3 linked regions of the Rattus norvegicus genome follow. The protein of the gene in region 2 interacts with the protein of the main gene of each other region in a pairwise test. Links are inferred from orthologs where the notes say so. Each region holds a gene or a part of one and is shown on either strand. Other genes may lie near its edges.

Region 1 (3,748 bases), on a different chromosome or scaffold from region 2:
GAATCCTCTATGGAAAAAAAATGATTCAAAAGAGGGACAAAGAGATGTGGAAAGACAATAACTGAAGATGCGATAACTGAATAAGGCTGGGAGCTGAGGTAGAAAAGCCAGGAGAGACTAATCTGATACCAGGAGAGCAGCTGTGGGAATAATGAAGGAGGGGAAGATGAGAAATGTGTCGCAGGTGAGAAAAAGCAGGTCTGGCTGGCCGGGGGCAAAAGGAAAGAGCAGCCTGAGCTTGCCAGCAGCAGAGTGACTCAGGAGAATTAGCAGCTGGGGCGGATCAGGATGAAGGTAGCAGAGATATAACACTTTGGGAGTTTTTCAGCATAGGCGAGAGAGGTAAGGTGCTCATCCCAGACATCCCAACGCAGAAGATAAAAACTAAAACCTCTTAAAGAGTAGAGTTGCCCCCCCCCCAAAAAAAAGGTGGAGTATAGGAACTTACTGGGATTTGTATGGTTTATATGGGGAAGTGATGGGAACCAAGGCTGAGTTCTTAGAGGTTGTTAGGCATACATAAATGCTGTGTATGTGGGGCCAGAAGACTGAAATCAAACCTAGGGAGTGGTCAGTTTTTAGAAAGGCATAAATTTGCTGTAAATGTTGAGTAATGCTCAGTCTGTCCTGTGCGATGCTTAAGGTACACTTGCTATAGAAAAGAATTATTTACCGCTTACCCAAACTCTTCTGAATTAGGCACTTCAAGTTTCATTTGGTAACCAGAATAGGGATTGTGAAGTTAAATGATTACAGAGTAGGAAGGGGAAGTGGGATAGGAGGCAGGCGCAGTGGGGGCAGGGCTGCCTGGTGTTCAGAGATGGCCAGGGGATGTGTCCTACTCTTCTGTTTCCAAAGAGAATAGAAGTACGCATTTTTATTGCGTGCGATCTCAATTTTGAAAGAGGGCAACTAAGGGAACCAAAAACATTGGTGATAGGAAAGCAATCCTGTGGTACCAAGGATATATGGGCCTGGTGGTGGTTTGTAACCTCTGATCCAATCTGTGGAATGGGTGGGGCGACTTTTACCCTCTCAACTATGAAATGGGGGCTCGGTAGAGGGAAGGACAGCAATTGAGGATTAAATTCCCTGTGCTCGGATTGTAGAGATCGCTTCCCTAGCCAAACGCCTTGGTCTTTTCCCAGTGCCTTAGCACCAACAGCCCTCACAGGACACACCCCATAGCACAGGTCTTGCAGCTGTGGAATAGCTAATGTCCTCTAGGGGTATCCAGCGCTGATTTGCTGAGTGGGACCTCAGGCAGGTAAGCCTGGTTTACCAGTGAGCACAGAGATGCCAATTGGAACTTCGAAGAGTTTTCGTCAGAAATTTGTGGGCGGAAACTTCCTGGGGTTGCTGTGAGCTTTTTTTTTTCTTTTAAGGCTTCTCAGCTTCAGATGCAAATGAGTGGGTGTCTCACGGAGAAGCAAAGAGAAGAGAACTGGAGAGAGGTGTTTCCCTTGACTGTGGAAACTTTATAAAGAAAACTCACTTACCTTCTCTGGAGCAGTCAGCATCAGAGTCCTGTCCTTGACACTTCAGTCTCCACAAGACTGAGAGGAGGAAACCCTTTCCTGGGGCTGGGTGCCATGCAGCAGCCCGTGAATTACCCATGTCCCCAGATCTACTGGGTAGACAGCAGTGCCACTTCTCCTTGGGCTCCTCCAGGGTCAGTTTTTTCTTGTCCATCCTCTGGGCCTAGAGGGCCAGGACAAAGGAGACCACCGCCTCCACCACCACCTCCATCACCACTACCACCGCCTTCCCAACCACCCCCGCTGCCTCCACTAAGCCCTCTAAAGAAGAAGGACAACATAGAGCTGTGGCTACCGGTGATATTTTTCATGGTGCTGGTGGCTCTGGTTGGAATGGGGTTAGGAATGTATCAACTCTTTCATCTACAGAAGGAACTGGCAGAACTCCGTGAGGTAAGTCTAGCACATGGGTTAATAGGCCCTTGAGTTCCTGGACTCTGCTGTGTGGGAGTAGGGACTTGCTATGGCCCATGTGGGCCACTGTGTTGTTTGCAATGATTTGAGGTTTTTGCTGTTGTTTTGTTTTGAATGGCAAAGATCTTATTGATCCCCTCGCTTTTAGAAAAGAGTTGTTATAGTCTCTTCTTTCTAGTTGGAGAAGCAGGCGTTCACTCCCTCAAAGAGAGTGATCCTCACTCAACCTGTGGGTCATGACCCCTTAGTGGGGGAGCCATTTTATGGCTGGGGGTCACCACAACATGAGGAACTGTATTAAAGAGCTGCGGTGTTCCCTTGAGAACCACTGCTCAAAGGAAGTTATTTTCCACCTTCTAGACAATTCGAAGCAAATAATTATTCTTCTCTCACTTGTCAATGGTGTTTGATGAACTTTTTATTGCTTCATATTTAGTGATTCAAGGAAGAAGATAAACTTTAAATCTTGTTCAGAAGTGTAAATAAATCTCTTTGAAAAGACTTAGAAGCCTTACTATAACTCTAGATACAATTGCATGGCCAAACTCTAACTCAGTCAGGGTCTGACATATTTGAGTCCTCTTTCTATGGACTGCTGTGACTTCTGCCTCCTTGGCTTAAATAACTCCACATTTATTCTATGACTCTTTTTTCCCCCCCACTAGTTCACCAACCACAGCCTTAGAGTATCATCTTTTGAAAAGCAAATAGGTAAGTACTTTTATGTCTGTCTTTTGAGTTCCCGGAGGAACTCAACACTCAACAAAGTTGTGAGGATGCTTGAGATTCCGTCCCATTCTTGGGCTCATGATTCCTAGGCACAAAATCCTGAGGAACTTTTAACTCTTTGTTCAGTGTGAAAAGGTAGTTTACTGCTCAATATCAGTGTATCTGAATGAATATCGAACGTAACTCAATAGAATTTGGACTTGACTGGAAAGGAGCACACATACAGCCCTGGATCTTTTCCCTTGGCTCCTTCCATGGATATCTTGGTCCCATCTTACATTGTGGTGACTGTGACTCCTAAGGACAGAGGCAAAAATACTAGATGCACAATATTAGACCAATTAGGTTCAATGCCCAGCTTCCCTGGTATGAAACTGGGGCTAAGAGAACAGTCCCCTGACGCCTTGCTATCTATTAAGACTTTACAACGCACAGAGAAACTCCCACCTTTCAATAACGGCTGAGAAATGAGAAGCAAATGCAAAGCTGGTGTCTCTTGCAAGGGCAACACAACAGTTTTATCCTAATAACTGAAGAAAACCGAACCTTCCATCAAAAGGAGTGCTGGCTCCACACTCAGTGCGGCTTGGTCTTCATGTGGGTCCCTCAACAACTGGAGTGGGGGCTGTCCCTGAATCTGTTGCCTTCCTGTGGATCCCACTCCCCTAACTGGGCTGCCATGTCTGGCCTCAGTGGGAGAGGATGTGCCTAATCCTGAGTGACTTGATGTGCCAGAGTGGATTGATATCGGGGGGGGGGGGATGGGGGTGGGGGTCGCTCCCGCTTCTCAAAGGAGAAGAGGAGGGGTAGGAGGAGGGACTGTGTGAGGGAGGATGGGGGAGTGGCTGCAACCCGGATGTAAAGTGAATAAATAAATTAATTAATGGAAAGGAAGGAAGGAAAGAAAGAAGGAAGAAAGAAAGGGAGGAAGGGAGAGGGAGACGGAGAGGGAGAGAGAGAGGGAGAGAGAGAGACAGACAGAGAGAGACAGGAAGGAAGGAAGGAAGGAAGGAAGGAAGGAAGGAAGGAAGGAAGGGGATATAAGCTCTTTCAGGGGTCACTATGGT
Region 2 (3,748 bases):
TTAGCAGTTATGGCCTGTGGGTTGAATATGAAAGAGGGTGAGATTGAAAGAGATGTTCTTATATTTCCAAATGTTCCTGTGCGCCACCCACGTGAAGTTTCTTTCATAACTCAGTTTGAATTCAAGCCTTGCCTGTTATATGACTATCACATAAAAAGCATGTATATATAATATTGTCTGTTTAAGCAAAATCTGAGTTACTGTTCGCCGCGCGCCTTTAAGTCTACAGCAGCGGAAAGCGAGAAGAGCAGGACATGAAGAACACGCAGTTTGCGAGGAAAGGACTGAGTGGCTCAGAGTTGCGGGCAAGGATAGTACACGAAAGCTGTACGATGGTAACATCCTCTCTCTGACACCATTTAGAATCATGTAGATGAACCCCTTGGCATGTCTGAGAGAGAGACATTCTAAATTGGGCTAACTGAAACGGGAAGACTCATCCTACACGTGGCTGATACTGTAACATGGCCAGGAGTGAAGAGCTAATTATTGTTCAGGACTGACTGCTATTCAGCCAGGTTCTTTGGACACAGGCAGGTACAGTCAATTCGTTGCCTGCCGTTCTCCAGCAATATCCACAGTCAGCCATTCGAGCTTAGCTGCTTCCTAGTCTAAACCTTTAGTGCTTTCCTCCCTGTGGACAAAGCCACCAAGCAGTTCCCTCCCTATACCGACAAAGCACGGAATAGCGGCTGACACGCCACGGAAGAGCAGCAGCATTGCTTCCACGGAACTCTGGGGGGCTTTGCTTTCATAAAGGCACAAAGGCATGGGGAAAATCAGAACAGTACTATGAACAGATGGGGGCTGCCTCAAAGGTCCCCTCAGATGGTTTTCACAACGCATCCATTTGTCATAGGGGCAGCTTGTTCTAACTCGAGACACTGAGCATTACAGCAGTGACTTATAAAGAAGAAACTTTCTTACTCACCTACAGAGGGCAGTCTTGGCATACACACTCAGTGGGCAGCTCTATCTGGAACGGAATGCTAAAATAGGTAGATAAGCCACTACTGATCCAGAGAAGGGATCAGCCTTTTACTTTGCTTAGAATAACATTGCAAGAAGGTCCCAGCAGACTCAGACATGGGCCAGCATTAGCCAGCCAAAGAACAGAGACGATACCTGGATGTTGGTAAAACCGGATGACAAGACTCCGGTAGGGCATTTGTTAGGAAAACATGCCCAGCCTTCCCCAAGGAAACCAAGGCTACCTGGAGGAGCATCTTTCCGGGCAGGCTGAGCAGGCACAGTTGCTGCCCCTGATCAGAGCAGAGAAAGATTCCAATTCCAGTATTCCCCAAGACCCAGAAAATAAAGGGGTCTCTCAGGCTGTGACTGGTGTCAAGGTAAGATGATCTCACAATCCCCACTGTCTTTGGCCGGGTAAAGGTTAACCCCTGAAGAATATAATGCCAGTAGCCAGTTTTATCGCAGTAGACTATGGGTGATTTATCAAGAATACTTTTGGAATAATTTACAGAAAACCTAAAAATTTGAAAACTACCTGGTGTCCAGTTTTCTCCACCCTAAACAGCTCTCTTTCACCATTGCTTTTTTTGTTGTTGCTGTGTTTTTGTTTTTTGTGGTTGTTCGTTTATTTGCTATGCTTTTGTGCTTGAGACTGAAGCCTTGGCCTCAGGCACACTGAGCGGGCGCTCAATCACTGAGCTACGTCCACAGAGTTTTGGCTGTTTGTTTTTTAGGTGATACTTTTTTTTTTCTTAAGCAGGAAATTTAGCTTCTTTAGCTGTTGCTACTAGTTCTTGAATGTTTTTCTCTGATAGAAATTGTGAAAGAAAATTAGACTTCTTTCTAAAAATATTATTACAAAATAATGAGAAGCTTCTATAGGAACATGAACATTAAAGATGTTAAATGTGTAGCTTCCTAAAGTGAGCTTCCCAAGTGTGAGTTTCTGACATTGATCATTTCTCCTATCCGGGGTTGTATGTTTCTTGGCAGAATGTACAGTGTGAGATGGCAAATTCTCTTAACTATTAATAAAGCACAACTGTTAATAAAAGGTTACAGTATGGAGAGGAATGGGCTCGTGTCCATGTTAAAAAAATAATTATCAGAGTTCAGAACTAAATGATGCAAAAGCAGACCACAGAAAACCTGTCCAAGTGAGTCAGCGCTGGAAGTCACAGTTGTTCCTGAGCCGTGGCCTACATCCTGAAAATGATCATTATATGGAACTCTGCACTTAATTCTCTAGACCTGCCCTGTGGTGGTATTTCAACTAATCGGTATGAGCAGAGGAAGGGTTAAAAGAAAATGAAAAATAAGTTTATTGTGAGTCTTTTTTTCTGTGGAAATAACTTTAATTTTCTGATATATGTGAGTACATCGTGAATCTGACACTCCAATTATTGTCGCCAACTAAGTACAGGACTTTATCTGATCAGCAGCTCATTCTCGAAGTTCTCAGATAAGAGTTTCGTTGTGTCGCTAAAACTGGCCTCAAACTCAAAATCCTACTGTCTTAGTCTCCCAGGTACTGTAGTTAAAAATGTGTGCCGCAACCAGTTAAGCATTAAGTCACCAAATTGAAATTAAAAGGAAAGATGTCATGATTAGGAGATCCTTATGCATTTTGAATATTTTAATTATCAGTGCCTCCCTTAACTCCTCCCAGATCCACACCCAGCTCCAGTTTTGTGTCTTTTTCTCTTTAATAACCCACCTACTAGGAGATCTTTATTAGCAAATATCTAAAAGCGAATAATAATCAAAAGAGATTTCTACAAGCTAAAAATTGGACATTATTCTTTTTTTTTTATTAACTTGAGTATTTCTTATATACATTTCGAGTGTTATTCCCTTTCCCGGTTTCCGGGCAAACATCCCCCTCCCCCCTCCCCTTCCTTATGGGTGTTCCCCTCCCAACCCTCCCCCCATTGCCGCCTTCCCCCGTAGTCTAGTTCACTGGGGGTTCAGTCTTAGCAGGACCCAGGGCTTCCCCTTCCACTGGTGCTCTTACTAGGATATTCATTGCTACCTATGGGGTCAGAGTCCAGGGTCAGTCCATGTATAGTCTTTAGGTAGTGGCTTAGTCCCTGGAAGCTCTGGTTGCTTGACATTGTTGTACATATGGGGTCTCGAGCCCCTTCAAGCTCTTCCAGTTCTTTCTCTGATTCCTTCAACGGGGGACCTATTCTCAGTTCAGTGGTTTGCTGCTGGCATTCGCCTCTGTATTTGCTGTATTCTGGCTGTGTCTCTCAGGAGCAATCTACATCCGGCTCCTGTCAGTCTGCACTTCTTTGCTTCATCCATCTTGTCTAATTGGGTAGCTGTATATGTATGGGCCACATGTGGGGCAGGCTCTGAATGGGTGTCCCTTCAGTCTCTGTTTTAATCTTTGCCTCTCCCTTCCCTGCCAAGGGTATTCTTTTTCCTCATTTAAAGAAGGAGTGAAGCATTCACATTTTGATCATCCGTCTTGAGTTTCGTTTGTTCTAGGGATCTAGGGTAATTCAAGCATTTGGGCTAATAGCCACTTATCAATGAGTGCATACCATGTATGTCTTTCTGTGGTTGGGTTAGCTCACTCAGGATCATATTTTCCAGTTCCAACCATTTGCCTACGAATCTCATAAACTCGTTGTTTTTGATAGCTGAGTAATATTCCATTGTGTAGATGTACCACATTTTCTGTATCCATTCCTCTGTTGAAGGGCATCTGGGTTCTTTCCAGTTTCTGGCTATTATAAATAAGGCTGCGATGAACATAGTGGAGCACGTG
Region 3 (3,713 bases), on a different chromosome or scaffold from region 2:
CCTTGCTACCTGTAGCAAGTCCCTGCAACTTAATGACTGCATGAAGGCCAGCTTAATCCCACCAGTTAAATTAACAGAACCTAAAGGCACATTTCTGCTTGTTTATCAATTGAACCAGAACCACTTTCAGAGTTGTTAACTATGCAGATAAACCCTGGGTCAGAATATCAAGGTGAGAGGGTCGGGTGGCCTGAGGTGGGGTGGCCTGAGGTGGGAACTTGTGCCTTATTAGCAAGGCTGCCAGAAGATCCTTAGGCATTTCCAGTGTGGCTGCTGCCTTGGAGATTTCTTTTCTCTAGCTAGTGGGATGAAAACCCTCCACCTTACAGAGGACAGTGCCTCACATGGAGAGACCAAGCATTGTCTGTGTGGCTTTAGTGACCTTTCACATTGATCACATGAGTGAGTATTAGCTCTGATAGCTAATGACCCCTTGAGACCTGTGACAATATTTTAGGGCATCCAGGAACGGTCATTTTCTTTTTTTCTTTTTCTATAAATGGCCTTCTATACCATGCCACAGGTTAGCCTCGAACTCCTATGTGGCTCAGGAGCTTGAGTATCTGATCGTCTTCTTCTTGGGTGTTGGGATACTGGGCCACTGCCACACCTTGTTTTTATTCTTCACTGACTTCATGTACTCTAGGCAAGCAGTTTATCAACTGAAATCCATCCACAGCCCGCTCTGCAGTTCTTCAATGATAACTATTAACATAGTATATATAATAAGGAGTGTTCTTCTTTTTACTTTTCTTTGGGTGGTTTCAAGATAAGATTTCATGGGGCTGGGGATTTAGCTCAGTGGTAGAGCGCTTGCCTAGGAAGCGCAAGGCCCTGGGTTCGGTCCCCAGCTCCGAAAAAAAGAACCAAAAAAAAAAAAAAAAAAAGATTTCATTATATAGCTCTGGCTGTTCTAGACTCACTTTATAGATCAGATGGGCCTCAAACTCACAGAGATCTGCCTGCCTCTGTCTCCAGAGTTCTGGGGTTAAAGGTATGCACCAATATGCCTGGCAGAGAGGGGGGTTCGCTTTTCTTATCTGTGATTTTGTTTTTAGACACAGGCTCGTGTAGCCCAGGCTGGCCTCCACCTCACTAAACACTTCCCACCTTCACTCATGAAGAGCTAACATTACAGATAAGAGCCACACTCTCTCTTAAAGAAATGCTTTCCTTACAGTTGGCCTTCATCTCCAAAGCTAACGAACATATTGCCTAATTCAAACTTGATGCTAAAATGTGTTAAAATGAATGAAATCAGCAAGGCACACGGTATTAGTCAGGGTTCTCTAGTTCCACTCCCAGAGCCAAGCATAGTCAAACCACCACACACATAAATCACAAATTTTAGTTACTGAGGTTAGTGACCAAAATCACAAATATAAGATGGGTGTATTAGCACATGCCTGTAGTCTCAGTACTGGGAAAGTGGAGGCAGTAGAATCACATCAGGACTTAAGACCCCTGTCTCAAAATAAACAAAGGAAAAGTAGCATATACATGTACAATTTTGTGCATGAAGAACTGTAAACCCGTCCCGATTTTAAAGCAGGACTTCCTTGTGTCCTGACTGGCACAGAGCTCACTACATACACCAAGCTGGCCTGGAACTTCCACCGACCCTTCTTCTTGCCTAAGGGTGCTGAAATCCCAGGAGTGAGCCACCCACAGCGGGTTAGCTCGCTCTTTTTAGACAGAGGCCAGGGCACATTTGAACTCCTGGGCTCAAAAGATCCTGCCTCAGCCACCTGAGTCGCCCGGGCTCCAGGCTCGCAGGACTTCTTTCTGGTTTATCAGTTTCAGCGTCTTTCCACCTGCAGCCATTTGAACTTGACGCGCAGACACAGTGCTCGAGAAGGCAACTAGTGTCTCCGACACTAGTCTCGGAGACAAGGTCACCCACAGCGTCCCTCCTTCCCCTAGCTTCTCCAGCTTTTACAGGCCCGAGTACTGAGCCAGGCCAGAGGGCCCGGGTCCTTACCTTCGAGGTGTTGCACAGGAATCTGGTCTCGTACTCCTCGTTCATAGTGATCACTCCGCGCACGTTCTCGTCCAGTACCAGCTGCCGAGGCAAAGAAGGGGCTCAGCGAGGGCCGCGGGGCGCCCGCCGAGGCCCGGGGCCCGCTCCCGGCCCGGCCCGCCGGTCTCTCTCACCCGGCGCGTCATGCTCCTCAGCGGCAGCGCGCCCAGCAGCACTGTGTGGTCGATGCGGTGGTACCAATCGCGGTGCGCCGGGCCGCCCACCCTCCCCCGGAACACTGTGTAGAGCAGCGTCGGGTAGAAGAGCACCCGGGCCAGGCCGGCCTCCAGCCACGCGGACGCCGCCATCCCGCCCCACCCCGCCAAGCGCAGCGGCCAGCCACCCGCTTCGGAGCTCGCGGTCAGCCACCGCGAGAAGGACGCAGAGGACGAGAGCTGCGGGCCACCTGATGCCTCCCGACTCTCCGAAGCTGAGTCCCCGCCGTCAGAGGCAGGCCCGGGGGATCCCGGGACAGGAACCATGGCTCCAAAGGAGAGGCGCCGCGAGGGGTGGGGTAGGGAGAGTAGAACGGCAACGATAGGGTGAAACTGTGACCCTGCCTAAGGAGCAGGGCCTGCTCTCCAACCCCTGACCTCAGGGAGGGGCCGTGGCCCCCGAGTGCACCCATTACCAAGGAGGAGGCTGAGCAGTGAGGCTCCTCTAAACAGGGGAGGAACCGGAGGACCCTCATCTGGGCGTAAGAGGAGCGTAGTTGACCGGAGCTGCTGCTCTTGGGGGTGCAGGGAACCTGAACATAAGTGGTAGTCTACTGTCTGTCTGTCTCTCTGTCTCTCTCTTAACTTTTTTTGAGACCAGATCACACTATGTAGCCCAAACTACCTTCTACTGGCTATGTAGCTAGTTCCAGAACAGCCAAGGCACACAAAGAAACCCTGTCTCAAAACAAACAAACAAAAAAAAAAACCCCCAATACCTCTGAGTGTGTGTGTATATATATATGTGTGTGTGTGTGTGAGAGAGATATTACCTGGATGCAAAGTCCAAGGAGGACAAAGAGGATGTTGGAACCCATGGGACTAGAGTGTGACTAGAGGGACGAGAGTCCCTCTCAGTGAATGCTGGAAATCAAACCAGGGTCCCCCGAAAGAATAGCCAATGCTCTTAACTGCTAAACCATTTCTCCAGCCACAAGAGAATATTCTTTACCTGCATCTGCTGCTTTTTCCCTCCTTCTTGGTTTTGGTTTCTTTGTTTGCTTGTTTGTTTTTCTTTAAAAAAAAAGATTTACTTATTTATTTTATATTTATGAGTACACTGTAACCGTCTTCAGACACATCAGAAAAGAGCATCAGATCCCATTACAAATGGTTGTGAGCCACCATGTGGTTGCTGGGAACTGAACTCGGGACCTCTGGAAGAGCAGTTAGTGCTCTTAACCACCGCTGAGCCATCTCTCCAGCCCCCTGTTTGTTTTTCAAGACAGGGTTTCTTTGTGTAACCCTGGTTGTCGTGGAACTCTCTCTGTAGGCCAGGCTGGCCTTGCACTCAGAGATCCACTTGCCTCTGCCTCCTGAGTTCTGGGATTAAAGGCATGTGCTACTGCTGTCTGACTTCTTTTTCTTCCTTTTAAAAAAAGAGGTATATTTTATCAAAGAAATACTCATAATAATGGGCAGGAAGGAATTAGGAGGAAGAAGAGTTAGGGGATGAATTTTTATCAAAGCACATTAAT

The links.
Region 1: the proteins of Rgs20 (region 2) and Faslg interact in binary tests that used the Homo sapiens proteins (3 or more experiments, as listed by UniProt). The two-hybrid records come from large-scale screens. The link is inferred for Rattus norvegicus from reciprocal best matches to the Homo sapiens genes RGS20 and FASLG.
Region 3: the proteins of Rgs20 (region 2) and Ptpmt1 interact in binary tests that used the Homo sapiens proteins (3 or more experiments, as listed by UniProt). The two-hybrid records come from large-scale screens. The link is inferred for Rattus norvegicus from reciprocal best matches to the Homo sapiens genes RGS20 and PTPMT1.

The regions. Positions count from the first base shown.
Region 1 is NC_086031.1:76,693,275-76,697,022, reverse strand, and holds the start of Faslg (tumor necrosis factor ligand superfamily member 6), read left to right. Parts: upstream 1-1,519; 5' UTR 1,520-1,592; coding exon 1,593-1,931; intron 1,932-2,617; coding exon 2,618-2,663; intron 2,664-3,748. UniProt on the Homo sapiens protein: Cytokine that binds to TNFRSF6/FAS, a receptor that transduces the apoptotic signal into cells. Involved in cytotoxic T-cell-mediated apoptosis, natural killer cell-mediated apoptosis and in T-cell development.
Region 2 is NC_086023.1:19,281,176-19,284,923, forward strand, and holds the start of Rgs20 (regulator of G-protein signaling 20), read left to right. Parts: upstream 1-1,073; 5' UTR 1,074-1,181; coding exon 1,182-1,349; intron 1,350-3,748. UniProt on the Homo sapiens protein: Inhibits signal transduction by increasing the GTPase activity of G protein alpha subunits thereby driving them into their inactive GDP-bound form.
Region 3 is NC_086021.1:97,352,331-97,356,043, forward strand, and holds the start of Ptpmt1 (phosphatidylglycerophosphatase and protein-tyrosine phosphatase 1), read right to left. Parts: upstream 2,925-3,713; 5' UTR 2,712-2,924; coding exon of another isoform or gene 2,503-2,711; coding exon 2,155-2,502; intron 2,063-2,154; coding exon 1,982-2,062; intron 1,469-1,981; coding exon of another isoform or gene 1,415-1,468; exon of another isoform or gene 1,407-1,414; intron 1-1,406. UniProt on the Homo sapiens protein: Lipid phosphatase which dephosphorylates phosphatidylglycerophosphate (PGP) to phosphatidylglycerol (PG).